4 linked regions of the Neodiprion lecontei genome follow. The protein of the gene in region 1 interacts with the protein of each later gene in a pairwise test. Links are inferred from orthologs where the notes say so. Each region holds a gene or a part of one and is shown in the gene's direction. Other genes may lie near its edges.

Region 1 (6,668 bases):
ACTACAACTTGAGATAAGATCAGCAGGCTTGACTATTTGTTTGACTGTTCCACAAGTGATAAGACTTTAATGACGTAAATACGCAGCAATCTACGGTTTATGATTTTCTCGAATGAACGCGCCGTTTGTAAAAAATATGAATTCACATACCAATTCTTAATGATGGAAAAGTACGATTGGATACTTTTTGAACGTAAATATAAGAAAAAATGATAAAAGTTTGATATTTATAATACTAACTGGAGGTATCTCGTCCACAACCAATGGTAGCTCCACTATGTCCGCAGCTTTCTTCTCAGTGATGGCTTTAGTGATTATCGTCATCTCGATGTAAAACTTTCGGTGAAGTTATTTAACTCTTCTCGTCGTCAGCACAATAAATATACAAGTCAATTTATTCTGCAATTCTCGAAACTCACCCAATTCGCTTGGTGATTAAGTGGGGTAATGGAACTCGCGCAAAGCTTAAAGTCGATCGAAACACAACCGTGATCCGGACACCAATAACACAACGATACGACAGAATCACGTACTACCGCACACAGAGTGCATGATTGATCGGTGACAGCTGCGCAGCTAGCCTCCACCCACCCCTAGTCTTCCCGTCGCTACAAAATATCACGGCAATGAGAATCTCTAAGCCATCTAGGCGCAGAGAGCGGTACTTTCACGATTGGCAGCCTACCCAGGGTAGCATTATCTCAAAAGTTCGTGTTGTGACCGTCACATGCGCGCGTGCATGACTTTACCGGCTAATGTAGTTTAGTATCCTTGCCTGCCGGCAAACCACTATCTGTCTATTTCCGCAAGAAGAGTCCAAGTAATCAGTGAGAAAACCCGTGCATGTCGGTCGATTGACACGCTGCATCGCATACAACGATTATGCTCAATCCTGCCGTAAATTCGACTCATGTTGCACCAGCATGCATCAATCATGACTAATTCTACCGCAAATTGCAGCCAATTATGGTTTTACATGATCGGATATGCTACAGCAAATTCTACCTGGGCCAGGTAGCTTTCAGTCGCAAGTTCATATTGTGACCGTCACATACGCGCAGGCTAGATTCTGCCGCACTGATACTCTCTGACTGATATATTATCATTAGATTATTTATCAGAGCTCTGCCGGCAGACCACTATCTGACTGTTTCCGCAGTTGTGGGAAGACTTGAACATGTGCGCTACCACACTACGGTGCTGTATTGATGTATTCATTCCATAGACAATGTCTATGATTCATTCATGCATCAATGCAGGTTATTTGAAAATCACATTACAGTTCGTGCACTCCCGAGAAAGGTAAAAGAACCGTTGAATCGCCACCTGCATATGAAAAATTGAAGTAATCAGTGAACAGCCGCGCTGCAGCAGTATGCAACAATCATGCCAAATGTTGCTGTCAAGTGCTACCGAACGCGGTCTTGCATCATCGGATGCTACAGAAAATGCTACTTGGGCAAGCCTCCGGACAGAAAGTGATAATATTATATTCTCCTCTGAAACCCTATTGAACACCGATCTTATAGGTTTGCGATAATTGTTTGACAAAAAATATCGTCTTTGCAAGTTAACGCTAAACCGATTACTACGATTCACTAATTTAAAAGTAATGACGCGATTTTTCATTGCGCTGTTTGAAAATTTCCAGGATTTGCGCTGTGACCACTTATGGCTCCGCGTGTGTTAGGACAGTAGACAAACAACTGTAATCATTTTACCAAAGCCTTGCGTCTAGCTAGTCACTACGATTGACAGAAATTGGTTTCCGAATTGTGAGCACGATGGCGCTGTTTGAAAATGGTAGTTGTAGAATTTTCGAGGGCCTGTAGTCTCTGCGTTTAGTCTGCCTTTAATCGGCGTCTCCGGTTTTAAGGGTGGGTCTGTCTTTTTGTGGGAGGGGTCGTACCGACGAACACGAGTAGGATTAATTGAAAATATAAGGACACTTTCGACGGAGAGCCTCTAGTCAGTAACGAGAGTCGATAGTGGACCCGGTCCAGGGTATTCGAACTTCGAACGAAGTGCGATTTCGTTAGACGACGATACGTTGAGGACGTACACATACGACATTGGTGATTACTACCGCGCGGTGGATGAATTTTCTTCAAGCCCTGTAGGGTCCATCCCTTATTCCTTTCCCCGTAGTCTGCCCGTCCGTTCGTTTTTCCCTTTCCCCCCTGGCCCTCTCTCCTTTGCTTCATTACACTACGTACTCCTCTGTTCATGGCTACAGAGTTCGGGGTGGGGGTAACAAGCTGTATTATCCTGCAGGATATTATACTCAGAGTTGAAAGTTAAGGAGAGACAGGAATTGGACAGAACTGAGCAGCTCCTTATATATCGAATCACCAAAAGATTACTGAAGTTTTATGCAGGAATATGTCAAGTTTAAAAATTGGTAAGAACTAACAATCGAATACCTCTAAAACTCTAGCATTGAAAGACTAGAATTGTAACTGCTTCAAGTTTTTTGAACGTATTCTTTATTTCATCCTCTGCAATGTAGCTGTGGAATTAATCACTCAAAGATAATTTTTGAGGCTATCTATGTTTGTAAATCCCTATCTTATTGTAATTTCTGAAAGTAATATTATATGAATTGTCTCTGCTTCCATTTTAACTTTCAAGTGTTCAACGATTAGTCATTAAGCTCAACTCGTTGGTATCTTTAACATTGGTCAGCTGACATTTTGCATGATTAATTTTCAACATGTTATAAGTGCATCAATAATGTGGATACTCGTTATCTGTATTACAATATGATTTTTAAGTAAAGGCTCTTCTTGTAGCGCATTATAAAGTATTGGTCAATGCTAGCGGAAATGTATTATTATGTAGCTAAACTTATTGTAGAGATATATTGAGCTATTAAGATAGCTGTAGAGCAAATCTTTCATGTACAACCCATTCTTGTCATACATTTCATTCGCAACTCTGGTACTGTAGTGGTCTGTAAAATGTTACCCCTTATTCACGACCACAACATATTAAATTCAAAGACAAACATATGCCGCCTGGTACTTGGACGTGCCTCTTTATTTAAGTTTTCAGCAACTATTATTTATTTCAATTACTTGGTATAATTAATGGCTGATTATTTTGTTTTCCTTAAAGTGTTGGCAATACACTTGCTTAATCTACCTTTGCGAACGATGGACCCTGAACCAAGAAATCAGAGGGTGTGCCAACAATAAAAAACAAAAAAAAGCTAAAGAATGAATGCCTGCTCCACTGACCCTGCCGACACAACACAAGCAGGCTTAAGATTCATTCACGTAGTACGTGAGTAGCCGATAACACGTGCCACTCTTCGACGTACATATCTCTATATTCGCACATGGCAGCCATGAAGCATGGTACGTCTTACAATTGTTTGCTTGTTGCTTTTCGATGTAGCCCGTATATTCTTTTGATTATTTACTACATTTTTGAGATTGAATACGTTTTCTCTTTGTTGTTTGTTTACTTTTGAATATTGTTATTTCGGAACATAGAATGAAAGAAAAAAAAAATCATAAAAAGTGAGCTTCTTTAGTGCTTAGATATATTGTTTGTATATGTTGTTTACAATTGTAATTAATAAAGCAATCTATTACCAATTATTATTCAATTCGAATTAAACATTCCATTTTATCACGAGAAGTTTGGTCCTATTATATTCAATTATGCTTTTAACCAAGGAGTAGCTTTTAGCAGAAGCAGTATGCCATCAATTGAGTGAAGTGTAATTGGATTTCATTCCTACAGGCAAGACCAGTCAGGACGACGTGTGCTACGTCGTCGCCAAGTACGATTATGGGGGACAAGGAGCCCAAGAATTGGATCTTCGTAAAAATGAACGATACTTATTGCTCGACGACTCCAAACATTGGTGGAGAGTCCAGAGTGCCAGGGGTCAAGCTGGGTATGTTCCAAGTAATTACGTCAAGAAGGAAAAGCCATCTCTGTTTGACAGTATCAAAAAAAAAGTCAAGAAAGGTTCAGGATCAAAAACGTTACCATCGAGTAACTCACCCTCAAGAGCGGTCGAGTCGCCAACCATGGCTCGAAGATTACCCGCAGATCCGAGTGAAGCAATTGGAACAGCAGTTGTAAAATATAATTATCAAGCGCAGCAGGCAGATGAATTGTCATTGGTGAAAGGAACGCGGATTCTCATACTTGAGAAGAGTAATGACGGCTGGTGGAGAGGACAGAGTGGCACTCAGGCCGGTTGGTTTCCTTCAAATTATACTCAAGAAGAAGGAGATGCAGATGATACGTTGCACACTTATGCAATGGCAGAAAATGTGTTGGATATTGTTGTGGCTCTCTATTCATTTTCTTCCAACAATGATCAGGAGTTATCCTTTGAGAAAGGAGATCGTTTAGAAATCCTTGATCGTCCACCAGCTGATCCTGAATGGTACAAGGCTAGAAATGGCCAGGGACAAATTGGCTTGGTTCCTCGCAACTACTTACAAGAACTAAGTGAGTACTTGACACAACCTTACCGTGAGCGAGGAATGACAACCAGTGAAATTGGAGCTGGAGACTCATTGGAACGAAGGCCTGATTCAGGGGATAGACCCCATCTTGTTGGGAAGCCATGGTACTATGGAAGAATAACTCGATCTCAGTGCGACACTCTTCTAAATCAGCATGGTCAAGATGGGGATTTCCTCATTAGAGACAGTGAAACAAACGTGAGTTACTTTTGTATTCACTGTATGGGCATTACAGAAAAGCAAAGACAATAGCTAAAATATCAAATTGTATCAAATTCCTTTCACTTGTCTTATTTATATGAAATCCACCAATACCAAATTCACTCAAATAGTGGCTCATATTAATTTATGGATGTGCAATTTTCGATTTGTAATGAATATATAATATATTCAGGTAATCAGTGAACTTTTTCCAATACTGTTTGATATTTAAATTGGTGTGTGTAGATGGGAGATTACTCTGTATCACTCAAGGCACCAGGACGAAATAAACACTTCAGGGTACACGTGGAGGGTGCTTTGTATTGCATCGGGCAGCGGAAATTTCATACTCTCGATCAACTGGTGGATCATTACCAACGAGCTCCGATCTATACAAACAGACAAGGCGAGAAATTATTTTTAGTTCGTCCATTACCGAAAGGGAATCCTAGTAGCAATGGCTGCTAGACTAAAATAATGCAGCATTGTTTTTCTGTACGTAGGATTATCTTAATACCTAATACCTGCCTAGCGTAACAATTGATATGATTACGTTAAGCAGTATTTATACACGAGACTAACATAATTGGTGAGCTCATATATTAGTGTTTCTCTTATTTGTCTTTTATTACTAAATAATTTATTACCATAAGTAATATAATTAATGATAAATAATGAACGTTGGAGCTTCCAACTTTACAACATATTAGTAAAAGTAATGGCAGCTAAGCGAGCTGGTGGGAGATCATTCATTTAGTTGACGCCATGCTTCTTTATCTATTTAATTAATATTGTACTAAGGTGTTGCGTCGACTATGATGCTACTAGTAGAGAATGCCAACGTACCCATGCATACTCTAGCGCACGCAAGTATAACGATCAATGAATGATAATTATTAAACCATACGACGAGTAACCAGATCTATCAATATGGAATATACCGATTAAGTTAAAACAAAGACTAAGTGTTCATTTGTGATTTTGTATTTATTAGAACATTTTTAAGTAAATAAACCATATTTAAGTGTGCACACATCTTTCACCCATTATTGTCGTCATCTTCCGAAGTATTCCAAGTATCATTATCACCATTTCAAACACACTCTTTACATTTATCATTGGGTTGTGTTAATGATGGACGGGTGAAAAGGTACTACGTCATAAAACCATAATATATCTGTATAATTAGTAACAAATATTATCTTTATTTAACGTGTATATTATATTCATAAATAAAAGTATCATTTACTTTTTTGTTATATGAATAAATGAGATTGGTGCTCTTAAAACGTAAAGTTGTTGGCACTAATTGCCAACAAAGTCATGTATATAAACAATTTTTTCGATACTATAAGTATTTTAGTTTTGCATTATTTGTTCGTAAGGTAATTATAAATTTAGGCTTGCATAATCATAAGAAAGGATTGTTCGTATTTCTTGTTGTCGTGCCAACTCCGGATCCCACCTGAAAATAAAATTTATCAAGTTTAAGAATTTGATGTTAGTTCATCGTTTGTAAATGGAATTGGCGGTCATTTTTCATGACCCAACTTACCATGAATGGATTTGCGTGATAGGAAGTCACTTTTGGTTGCCATGCTTTGCTCGAAAACGGCGTCATCAACTGACTAGACGAAACTACGTCACCATTACCAGGTAATCCAACTCCAAACCATTGCTGCTCTGCTACGAAGAAATAAATTAAAAATCTACTTGCTATAAAACGATACTGTTGAAAAATCATATATCAATGCACAACTGAGTCAGGTATTAGGTATCGTCAAACACAAATGTGATTTCTATACTGTTATACATTACCATTATTTGAAGAGAATTGGATTGTCCTGAAGGGATTGACTGAATTGCACGCATTGTCCATGGGTTGCGAATTGTTATTATTATTTACGCTATTTACCGTTGGCTGCCAAGCATTTTCGCTAGTGAACGGATTTGAAATTACATTTGTTGTTTGGTTAT
Region 2 (4,791 bases), on another chromosome or scaffold:
TGACGGAAGATAATAATTCTCCCTCCCTTTTTGTTACTCTTCCCATGGAGTGGGGGTTGATCGAGTTGAATCGCGAATATCTCGAGAACGGTGATAGATACAGCAAAACAAACGAAATTTTGGAGGTCACCTGAAGGCGAAATGACGTACCTGTCTGTGTCATGACGTACCATCCTGATTCTTACCCAGACCTGTTCGCGTCCTGAGAAATGTTCTGCAAACTCAGCGATGCCGGAACGGCGGGCCGCGAATCTTGCGCCGCAAAAAATCGCGGACCCAGTTCGGAACCTAGAAGCCTGACAATAATGTGGAATGATAACTGATGATAAATAAAACCGTCTGTACGAGGTTGAGATTATCGAACGATGAGAATGAATATTTGCTGTTGGACTGTTGAGATTGCGAACTTTTTTCCGCTGCCAAACCGTTCATCGTGCTTTTATGGTCGATTCTTGGGGCGAAATATTTACCGCCAGATCAGAATTGAATGACACTTTCCGACGTAGCTTCTTGTTTTGTACCCGTTTTTCAGTTCCTCTACGTGGCGCTAGTAGACTTCTGACATGCTCACCAGAGATAAGTAGGGAGATCTCTAACGCTCGGCTTTTCGTGATACCAGCTAGGTTGGAGCGTCGACGCGACACCTAGGCGGCCATGCACCGAAGGCGGCCTACAATCGTGTGCCAGGCATGAAATTAGGCGCGCTCGCAGAGTATATATAGATATACTCGGTCGATCGAGCAAGTGCAGCTCCCTGCAACTCTGTGTTTCAGAAAACGAGTCTATGTTGTCACACTCGGTAGAGAGCGTTAGTAGTACAGTTGCGCGGTTTGCGATATATATCAGTGGGTTTGCGCGATTACCTTTACGGCCTTTACAGAGTGCAACCCGTGCAACTGCACTACTAGCGCCTTCAATAAGAACTAAAATTATGTGACATACTAGGTTACTCTTTTGACTTTTTCGCTCGATCTAGTTGCAGGGGGCTGAGCAAGTGGTTGCCAACAGTGTTCCCAACCGTCACATAATTGTAGTAGATGTCACATAAATATGAACTTCGTACTATGTAACATAGAACTTTCATTATGTGACGGAAATCTACTATAATTTGGAAATTTGTATAAAAAGAAGTTTTTTTTTGTAATACAAAAACTGGCGGACAAAATTCTTTAATACTTTTCGAAAAAAAAAGATTTTTAATACTTTTCAAAAGAAACGTATTCAAATCTTTTCGCGCTAGGCAAAAAATTGTCAGCGCCATTCACCATAATGTGGTTTTTAATTTTAACCACATTATTACGGAGGGCGCTGACATGCACGGTTCGGGCTCAGGCGCGTTGGTGTTGATTTGAGCGCCCCGTTTCCCGCTTCCCGCCAGTTCCTGCCGTCATTCCATATTCCGTGATTTTATTGCATTATTAACATTTTCAAAAAAGTACTATAATTTTTTTTTCGGTACTATAATGCTACGGCCCTGGTCACATAGCCCCCCACGGACGAGTTGGGAACACTGCCGCTCCCAGTGCTGTCAGCAATCTTTTAGCTTTTTTGCCCTGCCGGGTTCGTGAGTAGCTCTGCCTCTGTCCTAAAGAGTTTTTAACGCCGTCAGCTAATTTTAGAACGTACTATCATTTATTTCTCGTTTCAGTGCAATTTGAATCAGTCTTTCATCCTTTTCAAAGTTTTGGCTCGAGGCTACCAGTTGTGGACACCTAACGTAACGAATACGACCGTGGTGGCACGGTAGTAGCCTGTAGTTGCCTTTCTCACTTTCGTGTTTGAATGCGTATGGTCTGTGGCGATGGCGGGCGGTGATTCAGGCCCTTGTCTGAAGTGAAAGGATTTTTAAAAAATCGAAATATTAAGTAGAATGAATTGTCGTTGATCACTTTAAGTCATACAGGCACGCGACTAACGCCGGTCAAGAGGTTTGCACGGTATAAATCGTCCGCAATACGTCAAGTACATGAAAAAATCGTGGTTCCTTTTTATTGTGAGCTGGTACAGATGCGTGGTGATCAGATCGCTCGTCGTGTGTGATTCACGCTTTAGGGGCTCCCGGATGGCCAATATCCATTCTCTTCTTTCCTGCACTTCAAATATCGGTCCGTCTGCAACGAACTTGACATTTCCTCCTCATCCCACGGCTAAAACATACCTTCTTTTTTTTTGATCTTTCAGCTGTATTTTCCAAACGGCCGGTGGAATTATGTTTCAAATGCTCTGTTCTGTCACAATTAGTGCAGTGTCGGGCATGCTTTTCATCAACTAGATCTTTGACTATCCTCGACTGTGATACACTTAAGGCTGCTGAAGGTTCAAATAATAAATGGTAAACCTGTAACGCTGAATTCGTACATACATATGTATTTTTTTGTCTAATCTAAACCAAAGAGAACTCTAGTTAATACCCTATAAACTTGTAGTGTTGGAACAAAATTTGTCTATTATAACTGTGAATAATCTACATTTGTAAGTCAACGTTTTATTCATATTCGTTACATGTACTCATTGTTGTTCCTCGTACTTGCTCTCAACATGTCTCTTATCAATTATTTGAAACTGAACATAGCTGTAAACATTTTCCTGCCTTTTAATACCGTTCAAAATTTTATTGACTTAATAGTTGTCTTGCAGTAATATTTTATTGCTTCTCAATGATACATGTGATTTTGCACTCAATCTTCCATATTAATGGCTATTCTTACTACGGAACAAATCTACATGGATCACTCTGAGCACTCCAAATGTGTGTACGTCCTAAATTTATCACTGAGCTTGAATTAGGTTTGGTCTTTGTTATACTGTCACTTTTGTTTTGATCAATTTTTATATTCCATTGCTATCCTAAGCCAAAACACACATGTAAGAAAAATCATACTGCGGGTGTTTCTCGCCTTTGGATGGTCGTAAATTAATATAACAAAAAGTCTGTTAGGTACAAGATTTCTGTATGAAAATGCAATACAGTTTTTTATTCATAGTTTGAAATCTTTAGTAAACTTTGTGGATAGTTTGCCAGCTCTTGTCTCATTAACCTTGAAACAATGAAGATAAATATCATCACTTAGTGCAGAGAACTTGAAAATAAAATCCAGTAACAAACAAGTAGCTTTATCGCTGTCGATAATTTCGACTTGTTTATTCATGAAACTGAAACCTGACTGCCCAACATTAATAAGTTTTAGTCATTTGGATACACGACTATTTGCAATAAAAAGAAAAATTGGAAAAGTACAGAACTTAATACGTGCAGATGAGAATGTAACTACTTTTTTGATTAGCTTATACGGAAATAAGTCTGAAACAAGTTGATTCGCATTGTTATTATACTCATCTATTTAATCTGTGCCAGAAATTTCCGCGAAAGATGCAAATGAATGTAACTGCAATGTTGAATAATGGAACTACAGTAGAGCAATGATTTGTTCAAACTCATGAAATATATTTATTTAAAATCGTTCAACATGTTTACAATAGATTTTTATTTCACCACGAGACAAAATTGACGATTCTCCTTTGTTTTACAACGTAAGCTCATTTATAATAACATGTAAAAATCAATGACGTGTCTCATTGTTACGCGATTGAAGTACACAACGTTATCATAGTGAAAAATTAGGTAAAAATTCATTATTTTCTTATTTTAGAATGATGGTCAAGAAAGTAAGATTTCAAAATATGAGTATGTCTTGGATCATAACAGTTCACTGAATTTGAAACAATGCCAAATTCGTGAAAAAAAAGATTTTTTCTCAGCATAAATCGTTACGATAACGTTATTAACTTCTACATGATTCATTTTTGCATGACTTTTCAAATGAGTGAACTAAACGTGGAATCAGAAATTGTGATTCGGATAATCCCTAATATGTACAATTGATATTTAGATAACTGACGTTTTACTTTAAGATTACATCAAAAATCAGACCCACTTAAGTTATAAAGCTGAAGTTAATAATGTCAACGTAATGAAATATTAAGAAAAAAATCATTATTGCACAATTTTAAAACGACTGTCAAGAAGTTGGCTCTGCAAAATATGAGTATATTTTATTTATCGTGGTTTACTAAATTTCAGACATTCCTAAAGGTGTGAAGTAACGATTTTTCCTCAACATGTATTGTTACAGTATGGTTACTAACTTCATCCATACCTTAAGTTACTACTTGATCTCGTATTTCCATCGAATATCATGAGTTTTAATCTTTATATTAGATAGTAGTATATGCATACAAAGTTCAAGTTCGTAACACTGAAATATTTTTTTTTTTTCAATTGATATTTTGCCAAATCCGAATTGTAAGAAATGCATTAAACGGTAAATTAAGGCTTTGTCAGAGCAGAGTTTACTCACTTTGCCATTAGAACCCTGACAATCTTGTTCGAAAATTGTTACATAATGATTTGTTTTTATAGGTTTTTCGAGCCATATTAAATTTCAACATCGCAGATACATTCGGCTGAAAAGTTACAGTACAATATGATATGAGCACATTAATAATTAGATGGTTTCAAATTACTTCAATGTTTTTAAAAGTTTTTGAAACATTTTGAACTAATTAATGATTTAAGTGTAAAAAACGATGACCTACGTTTAATAACTATTACATTATGTTCACTAGTGAATAAGTGGAAGCTCAGCTATAAAGGAAAGGTAAAGAAAACTAAACACCACGAAGAGCATAATGTCAGATGAAGAAGACAAACCTCCGGCACCACCGGTTCGCCTCACCTCAAACAGGTACTGTTACAACACTAAATTTAATGTTTCAAATATTGAATTACCA
Region 3 (5,579 bases), on another chromosome or scaffold:
GTTCGAATTATTGAGAATTGATAGTGGTACACAGTAATGGTTTAGAACTAGGAACGTGATGTTTAAATGGTATGCTAAATTTTATACCTTTTTGGCAATTCGGCGCGGTATGTGAGTGGTGCGTACAAGTTGAGTGACTTTGGCGATTGGGACCTCATCAATGTCAGGGTCTTTGCGAAAACAGTTGAAAGTCTCTCCGTAAAGATCGTGTTCCTCTTCGGTCAGCTGTGGATCCTCCATCTTGTCAAATTAACGTTAGTTTAGTTATTCGCGGAATATTGTACCACCTAAACATGATACGGTTAAGGTGACATTATTCTAATACGGTATATCCAAGCAAGATAAATGACACTGGTCATTCATTTTACGATTTACTAGCTACACCCCACGTAAACGGGCATACAGGCACATTCGCCATATTCGTCCGTTTGACGTACGCTCAAACATTGACTAACTTGATCAAGGATTGTCCGTCTTTGTTGAATTCGCGCACGCGTAAATTTTTCCTGAGTTCCTTCTTTACCGGCACTACAATACCAATAATGACGTCATCTCAATTTTTTACTGAAGCTGAACGATAGTGCTGTTCTTCAATGAATGTTTGACGTGTAGTACCTTTCATTGAAGATTGAAGAGCATAGTTATCGACCGTTAGATAAACAAAGGAATCATCTCGATTCCTATTCCTATTATTATCTTGTCCTATGAATACGCTACTGTCTCATTTGCAATTATACGTAACTACTGCGATGGTAGCGCCTGTGCGTACGAAGTTGTCTTTTTCATTTCTCTTCATCGAAATACAATAAGCAGTTGATCTTCTACGATCACAGATCATGCAAACTGCACCATCGAATAACGTCGAATATCGAATTCATGGGTTGATTTAGCGCGCGTGTCAAACGAGGAGATAAAACCGATTCATAGGAAGAAAACGTAGCTTGTAAGGATGACCCAGTTGGGCTAAAATTGTTTACCTGCTGCCTATCAGTTAGAGACACGCCTCGGAAGGATGGGAGTTTTACAGGTCTACTACGGCAGTAATGATCCGCGAAATTGACATTTGCTAGCAGAATCCTCTGCGTATACTTCAGCGAATTACGTGGTTTGCGCAACAGTTATTCAATAATAAATTTCTGCACACTTGCTAGAAATGTCTTGAATACTTTCTGATTGCGGATAAGTGTCAACAATGTAATATCAAAGTGTTGATGTGGTTATACGTAGACAGTGACGGGCAGTGCAGTCTCACTTTGTACATACGTTCAACTGACAGGCATGATTTTGACCCCTGTTAGAATTCATTGCGAATTAGCTGTGATCGTGGTTAATGACTCACTAGAGTCGCGTATAAGTGGATGACTACTCTTTATCCACCCGTTCGTTCGTGTGTACTTAAATCTTGTGTATTAAAAATAGGTTATGTATCTACGAAAGGAAAAAAAGACAATGCTCATCGAACCGGATGCAAGAAAATGTCATCAAGCGTCACTCTCGCTTCCTGTTGAGATACCTTCGTGGGTGGTGTTGCTTTCGGTATACGGTGAAGGCTTACTCACGGATAGGCGGTTGTAAGCGGGCAAAAATGCAAAATCCGCAATCAATTCTACGGTGATTTACGTGCCAGTGCCCTGGGCCGTCTGGGAATCGAATGGAACTTCTGGAGCCGTGGATATCGCTACGTCCATAACCTAAACGTGTATAATATTTTTTGTCGAAAATGAAATCTGGACGCTTGAACGAGCACAGAGGATCCATCCTTCTCTCGAAGGAAGAAAACCAGGAAGTCTTCAAGCTTATTGGGAACCGATGTCAGGTGTGAACTTGTCAAATTTGTCATCACTACCTTTGTCAATATCCTTTCATTGCTAACTGATACTGACCTATATTTAAAGCTACAGGCAATCGTTGTCTACCTACGTGTTTAGAACCAAAGATTGCCTAATTTAGAAGTTCCTGTCGAATACGTGAAAATTTTTCAAAACACTATTACTTATTGAATATACTGTATTCTCTGATCTATGACAACATTCTATGTTGTATGATTATTCGCAGACTCCACCTTGTTGACATTACAAATTTATTATTTTTGAAGCAGTAAATGGTGCATATAGAATTTAGATGTAAACTAACATCTGTTAGTTAGACTTTCGATTTTATGTTTTAGTTATTCTAAATTTTAGTTGCCATTTATTGGATTGTCATTATAATTACCGCATATGTTGGGTATATTTAAAATGCTTGAAGTCATATGATCAATGGCTGATCATTATGTTACACATAATCTGTGATTTTGCAAGAAGTTCTGTCTGCTTATCACAATATTTCAAACATATACTGCTATGACAGGAATGTTATCAATTTCTGGCTTAAGATTATAAAGCATTATCATATTTCATTTGATAACAGAGTATTTTGTAACATTTTTCATATAACACACTTATTTCAACATATAGGCCATTGGGAACCTTCATAAGTTTTTTTTCATATTTAAGCGATATACTATACAATTAGATCATAATTATAACATAATTGTAAATTCCATATCTTCACATTTCACATCAGCGGTCAGTAATTGCATCTAATTTTAGTTGAGACGAGGCAAGCACGCTTTTAATTGTTCGAAACAAATGGTTAATATTTTTATTCAAACTAATATTTGGTCATGTTGTTTTGCTTATGACTCATTTGTTGTATTTTTGTCACAACATGTGAGACAATTGTGTAGCTAACAGTATGTTTTGCTATTTCAGTGCCTTGCAGCTGGTGTGATACAACTATACGTAACTGAGTCTCCATCACATAGGGATTGGATAAAAAGAGATACTGGTGTAATAACACTCATTAAAGATAATCCAAGACGCAGTTACTTTTTTAGGCTGTATTGTCTGCGAAGAAACGCAATGCTGTGGGAACATGAAGTCTATAATTCAATGGATTACAAAGCTCCCATGTCCCATTTTCACACATTCGAGGGTGAAGATTCTATGACTGCTTTTAATTTTGCCAGCGAAACAGATGCAATCATATTGAGGTATTAATCGCTTTTTCTCTAAAACCGCAATAAGAAGTCAAGATTATGGCACAACATGTTTTGCTATGAAGTAACATACAGTCTAATTTTATATATGTTACAATCGTTCATTATTGTCGATGGTTTGATAATAATTTCCTTTCCTCACATCAAAGGTCGATAATTCTTGAAAAGCTTAATGCTAAGAGGCAAAGAAGACAAGAAAGAAAGTCACGAATTAATGCCGATTCTCATCATTCGCTGACGTTGCCAAAAAAGAGCCACAGCAATACCTCAGCTGTAGGTTTCAGCACTGGAAGTTCAACAGACATATCAAATGGCTCTTCATCATCCGCTACTGTCAATAGAAGCGTGTCCAGTAGTTCGATGTACAAAGCTAAGAACCATAAACAGGACAAGGATCCAAAGAGAAGATTGACAAAGGCGGACATAGGTTCCCCCTCAAACTTTCGGTATGATTTTAATTTATTGAGAGTATTGCGCTCTCAACCTTGACACTATAAAGAAATTTGCGTAATACAAATTTTCTCTCGAGAAATATATTAATTGTGTAATATTACCTGTTACAGACATGTGGCACACATGGGTTGGAATGTGAACAGTAAAGGTTTAGAATTGGAATCCGTAGATCCGCAATTAAAGCAGTTTTTCGACACAGCAGGTGTTTCGGATGATCAGCTGAGAGATCGAAAGACGCGAGAGTTCATCTATGACTTCATCGAATGCCATGGGGGCATAAATGCTGTTAAAGCAGCTATAATACCACCTTCGAGTATACAAGGCAATCAACCACCACCGCCGCCAGCACCGACAGGATTAGGACCTCCACCTCCTGTTCCCGCTCGAACTGTTCCAGTTAGTCCCGGACCTCCAATAAGTAGTGTGCGTTGCCATAATGTTAGGAAAAACTATACTAATATCCGAGTTATCTTTTAAGTACATCAGTCATGCTTTAATTTATTATGATCATTTCAGAATCAGCCACGTAGTGCTCCGCCTTTGCCACCTTCAAGAACTGCTGCACCACCTCCACCACCTAATGCCCCTCCTGCTCATCGGCCTTTGCCGGCTCGCCCTGTTGCATCTTCTGTGACATCACCACCATGTCCTCCACCACCACCTCCACCTCCAATGTCCACAAACATACCTCCTCCTCCTGCACCTCCGATACCACAATTAACAGAGATGGATAATGAGACAATAAACAGTAATGCCACTAATAACAATGGTGGATTACCTGATACCAGAAATGCTTTGCTCGATGCAATCAGAAGTGGTACAACGCTCAAGGTACGATGACCGTTTCAAATTTGTTTTTTAAATCTGATGATATACGTTATGTGATCAATTTTTATTTCGTAAATCCGAAAATATTTAATGCACATAAGATGTATCTGAGCAAACTTTTGATTTATTTATAATTTTCATTAATTTTCAGCATAGCTGCAATTGGGATAATCCGTGTTTAAATGAATTCAATTTCGAAATTTCATTTAAAATGTTTTCATATCCATATACTTTCGTGACTCGATTTACTTTTATATTGCAGAAGGTGGACAAAGTCGAGCCCAAGCCAAATTTGGCTGACGATACTAGAGGTAATCTGTTGAGTCAGATACGCCAGGGAGTCGAGTTGAAGTCGGTTGCAAATCAACCAAAATCTGCCCCGTCTCCAATCATACAGAATAGTTTAGCTGGAGCTTTAACTAGGGCCCTAGCAGAAAGATCGCGTGTAATACACAGTGATAGCGACAGTGACGATTCAACGAGTGAGACCAGTGGTGATGACTGGGACGATTGAATAGTTACTTTTGTCTGTAACACTAAAAAGGTATTTGTAAAGATCGATGATTTAATGTGCAGGTCCTACGAGTACCTGGCTTATTATTTACTAGATGAAAATAAGTTGAAAACAAAAGTTTTTCTTTTTTTTTTCCCCAAGCAATTATACTAGGTAATTGAGAGCAATGTAAGAACTATTTTTTTCTGAAAGGGTGCTGAGTGCTTAAAAATTTAAGTATGTTAGAGAGGTGCTTCCTTTTGATACTGATATTTTTCGTATTGATTACGGTATTTTTAGTATAAAAATGAATTTATTATTGTGTTTCATAAAGTAAACATGTAAGTGAGTCCCTAAGTTTCAGAGATACTGAAAACGAGATGCGAGTGTTAATGGTCAATTATTTTATTTATATACTTTAATCTGGCATGCAGCACCCTTTTTCAGCTGGAGTATGGTTCAGAAATGGAATAAAGTGAAACTACTGCGCACTAATGGTTTGCAGTCTCATGCATAGAAATTAATTTATTGTATTTTTAAGCTATAATATGACAGGTTCGTTATATTTAAAGTTAACTATTTGAATTGAAATATGAAACGTTGTGCATGCTTAAATACATTTTGAATATTTTCTAAAGTCTGACTATAGTGATAAGATGTTCAACATGGCGTGGTGATAAAAACACTTCCTTCCTTGTACCTTCTTTCAACACACGATATATAAAAAAATATTTCTGTTACGCATTAATCGAACAGTTTCTTCTG
Region 4 (4,647 bases), on another chromosome or scaffold:
TTAGGGAATTGTCATGCACGTTTGCAAATGGATTTCTCAAAGTTTTTCAGACTCTTTCAACGAGTCAAAAACTACTTAAAGTATATCTACGCACCCGATCTTTAAGATCCTTGTATACAATTTATGTAATTCAATAATCGTGTTTTGTTGATTATAACTCAAGGCTTGCTAGACTATATTGCGATGCAAAAAATTCATTGAAGAAAACGTTCTAAAAGTTAGTTTACGACGCAATGTTCACTGTAAAGACAAAGTGTGGAAAGTAGCGAAAATTATCGAATGTTTTTACGACGAACATTTTGCAAGCAAACATATTAGGATGGCTTCATTGCAAGTTCTGGAGTGTCGTATTGGGATTCTTCCGACTTGACGCCGGTGCAATTCGATAGTTGTTAATTACACGTCAAACGTGTATAATATCAACGAAGCAACGCTTTTGTAGATTATTGCAATCACGTTGGTGTTCGATATGAAAATAGTATTACTACGATCAACGATTGGTACGTATACGCGTATTGTATTTCGATTTCCTCAACGGTAAATGTATACAATACGCTCGTTGTTGTAAGGGGTTTTTGTAAGTGATATTATATTTAAATGGCCACAAATGGTCCTTGTCCTACACTTTTATTGTACACAAGGTAAACAATTGTTATAATTTTCTTATTTAATTTACAAATTAATATTCTACTCTTCGTATTTTCTCGTGCTTCACATCTCAGGCCTTTTGACCTTTCACGTATTATCAGATGATGGGCAATAAGATTGGATGATTTTTTTTTTAAACTATGTCAAGAAAGGAACTCCTAAGCTGAAAAGAAAAGATAGAGAGGGAGATAGTGAGAAAGAGAGCAAACTGGAACATACAGCATCATATGCAAACGTAAACACAAAATATATGTTGAAGAGGTAATAACAATACAAAAGGCGAATGTTGGCAAGTAACAGAAAAGAACAAAAAGTATGTACACGTACGCATATGTATATTTATTTATTTGAAAATTAAATCCACTCAGTATGTAATATGCGATGCGTTAAGTTGGTTTTGATAAAACAGATTGTTCACCCAATCCATCCTTACCGACGTGTCTAGATGTGGTGAAAAAAAAGCTAATGAACAAAACGAAGAAAAAAAAAAAACTACGCGGTGAATGCGGGTAGATGGCGCAGCCAGTCCGTCTGTGAATGCCGGAAATTTCCTAGAAATAGTCCGCCATACCCAAGAGGACAATGAACCCCTCCCCCTCCCCTTTCGGCCGTTGATACAACGTTTTACGAATCGAATGATGAATAAATCCCTCGTGGTACCAATAAGGGGCGCATGACGAAAAAAATGAACAAAAATCGTAGACACGTTGAAAACATGTGACCGATAGTGTGTCGTGATGGTAAAATGCTAGTGTTCGGTATCGAAGAGTGCCGCGTAGTTGTATTCGGCCGGTGAAAAGTCGGTTGGTACAGCAGGGCGACCGCCCGCGTAGGTAGAAGAATTGTTACGCTTTCGAAGTGGCCGCGGAGGAAAAAACTCGAAGTAAAAAGTAAAAAGACTAAGGCAAAAGAAGAGGGGTAGCAGAAAAAAAAAGAAAGAAAGAAAGAAAGAGAGATAAAGAATAAGAAAGAAGCAGGGGGAAAAAACTACGCCGTTGGTTCGTACGGCTCCTCGGGTTTGTCGACGAGACGACGACGACGACGACGATGACGATGCGCGCGTTACTCGGCGTGAGCTGCGCAGTATCTCACTGCGCACGGGGCTTGTTTTGCTCAGTCAAGGAGAGTACGAGAGTACGAGACGCGGCTACAGCACGGGCATGGTTGATGCTCTCGTGGTACGGCATTGTAGTAAACAACTCGCGTTCGGTTTGCGTATCAATCGTTGAACATCTCTGAATCAAAGGTGAATAACGGTGTTGTGATTACCGGTCGATATTAGCCGGAAGTGATAGGCGGTAATAGTTTGTTTTTAGTGCTGTTGGTGGTCTTTAACCTCGACAAAGTGGTGCGTCTGGTGGTGGTGGTGGTGTAGTGGTGGTGTGGTGGTGGTGGTGGTGCTGCTGCTGCTGCTGCTGCTGTTGGTACGTTCGAAAAATGTTGCAGCACGGGTGGGCAAGTTTGGAACGCCACAAGGTGAGTCCCCCCCCCCTCTCTCTCTCTCTCTCTCTCCATATTTCTAGCCTCTCTAAAAGTATTTCTCTATTTTCAACCGATAAACCGATAATCCGATAATCGACAAAACTTTACTTACTTCGTCGTCTACACACCGCCGCCTTTTCATACCGGATAGAGAGACATCTATCTAGCCTCTTTCTAGGCGCCACTATACCTATCCTATCCTGTCCTACCTACATCTACGTCGTATTTTCGGGCATATCTCGCTTCTCACGCCGCGATATACTTACGCGGTATTTTATTTTATTTTATTTCACGTACGCAGATTACCAAGTCTTGTCTGTCTCTTCCCGCAGCCAACTACACTCGCATATAATCGCTAACCTACGCACAATGCTCACGGAGTACATACTTTTATTTTATTTTTTTTCTCTCTTTTTTTTTATTTCCACCAGATTCTACTGAAAACCGAGTTGGTATAGTCAGTCCCTCGCGCACGCCTGCGTCACCGATCTTATCCTATCGCCGCAATACCAATACCACTGCCGTTTCTGCTGCTGCTGCTGCTCATTTTTTCTATTTTCTTCCTTCATTTTTTTATTTTATTTTATTTATTTATTATTTTTTTTTTTTGTAATTTTTTTTATTTTTTATTTCATGCCTTCTCTCTTTTCTTCGACTCGTGCTCTACGTACGTACAATATTACGCGCATTATCGTTATTGTTGGTAATTTTATTTTTTCCTTCCCCCCCCCCCCCCCCCCCGGCATACACATGCAACCGTTTCTTCTGCTATACATACACCGTACATACGCAGTACGCGTTTGCGATTCTGTTCCCCTGCGTAAATCGTGCATGCATACATACATGTGTTTGTGTGTACATATATATATGTATACACACACGTACACACATCTACACGTATCGGCTCTAGGTCTAGTTTTAAGCGCGAGGTTAACGTTTACCGTCTCTTCGCCCCTCCCCCCCCCCTCTCTTAATTTTTTGTTCCTTTTATTTATTTGTTTTCTTTGTTCTTCCAACAACTCGCCGACGAGACAAATTGTTGTTGTTGTTGTTGTTGTTGTTGCGTTGTTATTATTATTATTATTGTTACTATTGTCACGACTGTTGTTATCTTTCGATATTCAATGACGCAATATCATATCCGGTGTAATAATACCGTGATTGCCGGTTGCGTTGTTGTAAGGAAAGGAAGAAATGACGTTATCGAGTTTCGGGGAAATTCGAGCGTACGTCGCTACGCGTAATTACAATTTCCCACGCACCGTGCGTAGTACGATGGGTTATTAGGTAGGCATAATATGCTTTAGGTATACTATAATAGATAAACACGACGTGACTACGTGAACTGTAAATTGATGATGCGAAAACAACGAGGTACGACGAGTCGGAGAAAATTTGGGGATGAGAACGAACGAAAGAAAGAAGGAGCGGGGAAAGAAAAACAACAACAACAACAAAAATAATGACAATAATAAAATAAAGAAATATTTAACTCGCGTTATTTCCACGACGGATGAAATGCTTTACGTTGTTCATAAATATATACAGGCACACGTTATACGTACACGTATTAACGGTGGTAATGAAAATTTGCTTCGAATCGTAATACGGATAAATAATAACGACGTCGGTGAAGAAAAGAAAGAGGACAAGTGGCCCAAAGTCGTCGCTGGATCGAAAACGTCGACCGAGTGAGATGGAGATATTCTATTATTGTCCCTGACGCGGAGTCTCCCGTACTCGCGTTTTACACACACACACACACACACACACACACGCGCGCGAAAGCATTCACTCACGCACGCCACGCCACGCCACTTATACACGCGCAAATCGTCTCACGCGCCTCTAATCTATACGTGTACACGTATGCGTACACATGTGCGTTGTCCGTCTTTTTCCTATCTCTATGCCCGATATCCTAATAGTTTTCGTTCGATGCTTGTGATTCTTGCGTGTCTTCGACGACGCAAGTACAAAGACAAAAGAAAAAAACAAAAACAAAAAAAAAACAAAAAGACAAAGACGAGGTTTGAGGCAAAATTTATTACACGCCTATATGTACGTGTATTAGATATTACACACGTTTGTCGTACCGTACTATGTAGCATGGCCTGCCTGTCCGACATATGTCGTGCATTGTACAATTATTATCGTTGTTTTTTAGTGCAACGTAAACTAATATGATGATAATTCACTATCGTAGCGCGAGAAGAAGCTACGGGTTGCATTAAGTTTTCGCGATGTTCAACGATGTTGTTATTGTATAATACGATTGTGCGTGTGTATATATATATATATATGTATAATTATTTACATGCAGTACATAAATAATATAGATATATCTCGGTAACCGAACGGGTGCGAAACTTGGTTTAAAATTAATAACAACGCGAGCCTTATGCAATGGTGTGAAATTATTTTGTATAAATGGTGTAACGAATATCGTTCTACGTAGCTGCTGCTGCTGCTGCTCGTTGAAAAATTCGTCTTCCTTACGTTACTTTTCTTCTTTTC

What was found.
Region 2: the proteins of cytoplasmic protein NCK1 (region 1) and serine/threonine-protein kinase Pak interact in a two-hybrid assay, tested with the Drosophila melanogaster proteins (3 studies listed by BioGRID). The link is inferred for Neodiprion lecontei from reciprocal best matches to the Drosophila melanogaster genes dock and Pak.
Region 3: the proteins of cytoplasmic protein NCK1 (region 1) and neural Wiskott-Aldrich syndrome protein interact in a two-hybrid assay, tested with the Drosophila melanogaster proteins (2 studies listed by BioGRID). The link is inferred for Neodiprion lecontei from reciprocal best matches to the Drosophila melanogaster genes dock and WASp.
Region 4: the proteins of cytoplasmic protein NCK1 (region 1) and insulin-like receptor interact in a two-hybrid assay, tested with the Drosophila melanogaster proteins (2 studies listed by BioGRID). The link is inferred for Neodiprion lecontei from reciprocal best matches to the Drosophila melanogaster genes dock and InR.

The regions. Positions count from the first base shown.
Region 1 is NC_060261.1:35,431,544-35,438,211, reverse strand, and holds cytoplasmic protein NCK1, read left to right. Parts: upstream 1-1,811; 5' UTR 1,812-2,401; intron 2,402-3,117; 5' UTR 3,118-3,340; coding exon 3,341-3,359; intron 3,360-3,750; coding exon 3,751-4,688; intron 4,689-4,937; coding exon 4,938-5,159; 3' UTR 5,160-6,102; downstream 6,103-6,668. Other genes in the region: integral membrane protein 2C, read right to left, coding at 241-324; arf-GAP domain and FG repeat-containing protein 1, read right to left, coding at 6,103-6,156, 6,247-6,377, 6,510-6,668. UniProt on the Drosophila melanogaster protein: Adapter protein that links cell surface receptor tyrosine phosphorylation to downstream signaling pathways and effectors, many of which are involved in regulation of the actin cytoskeleton.
Region 2 is NC_060263.1:25,613,979-25,618,769, reverse strand, and holds the start of serine/threonine-protein kinase Pak, read left to right. Parts: upstream 1-1,788; 5' UTR 1,789-1,937; exon of another isoform or gene 1,938-2,332; intron 2,333-4,626; 5' UTR 4,627-4,689; coding exon 4,690-4,745; intron 4,746-4,791.
Region 3 is NC_060260.1:27,945,914-27,951,492, forward strand, and holds neural Wiskott-Aldrich syndrome protein, read left to right. Parts: upstream 1-1,574; 5' UTR 1,575-1,720; coding exon 1,721-1,816; intron 1,817-2,753; coding exon 2,754-3,034; intron 3,035-3,189; coding exon 3,190-3,486; intron 3,487-3,603; coding exon 3,604-3,916; intron 3,917-4,009; coding exon 4,010-4,324; intron 4,325-4,583; coding exon 4,584-4,835; 3' UTR 4,836-5,064; downstream 5,065-5,579. Other genes in the region: ralBP1-associated Eps domain-containing protein 2, read right to left, coding at 88-240.
Region 4 is NC_060266.1:24,896,594-24,901,240, forward strand, and holds the start of insulin-like receptor, read left to right. Parts: upstream 1-1,634; 5' UTR 1,635-2,124; intron 2,125-4,647. UniProt on the Drosophila melanogaster protein: Has a ligand-stimulated tyrosine-protein kinase activity. Binds 3 insulin-like peptide ligands.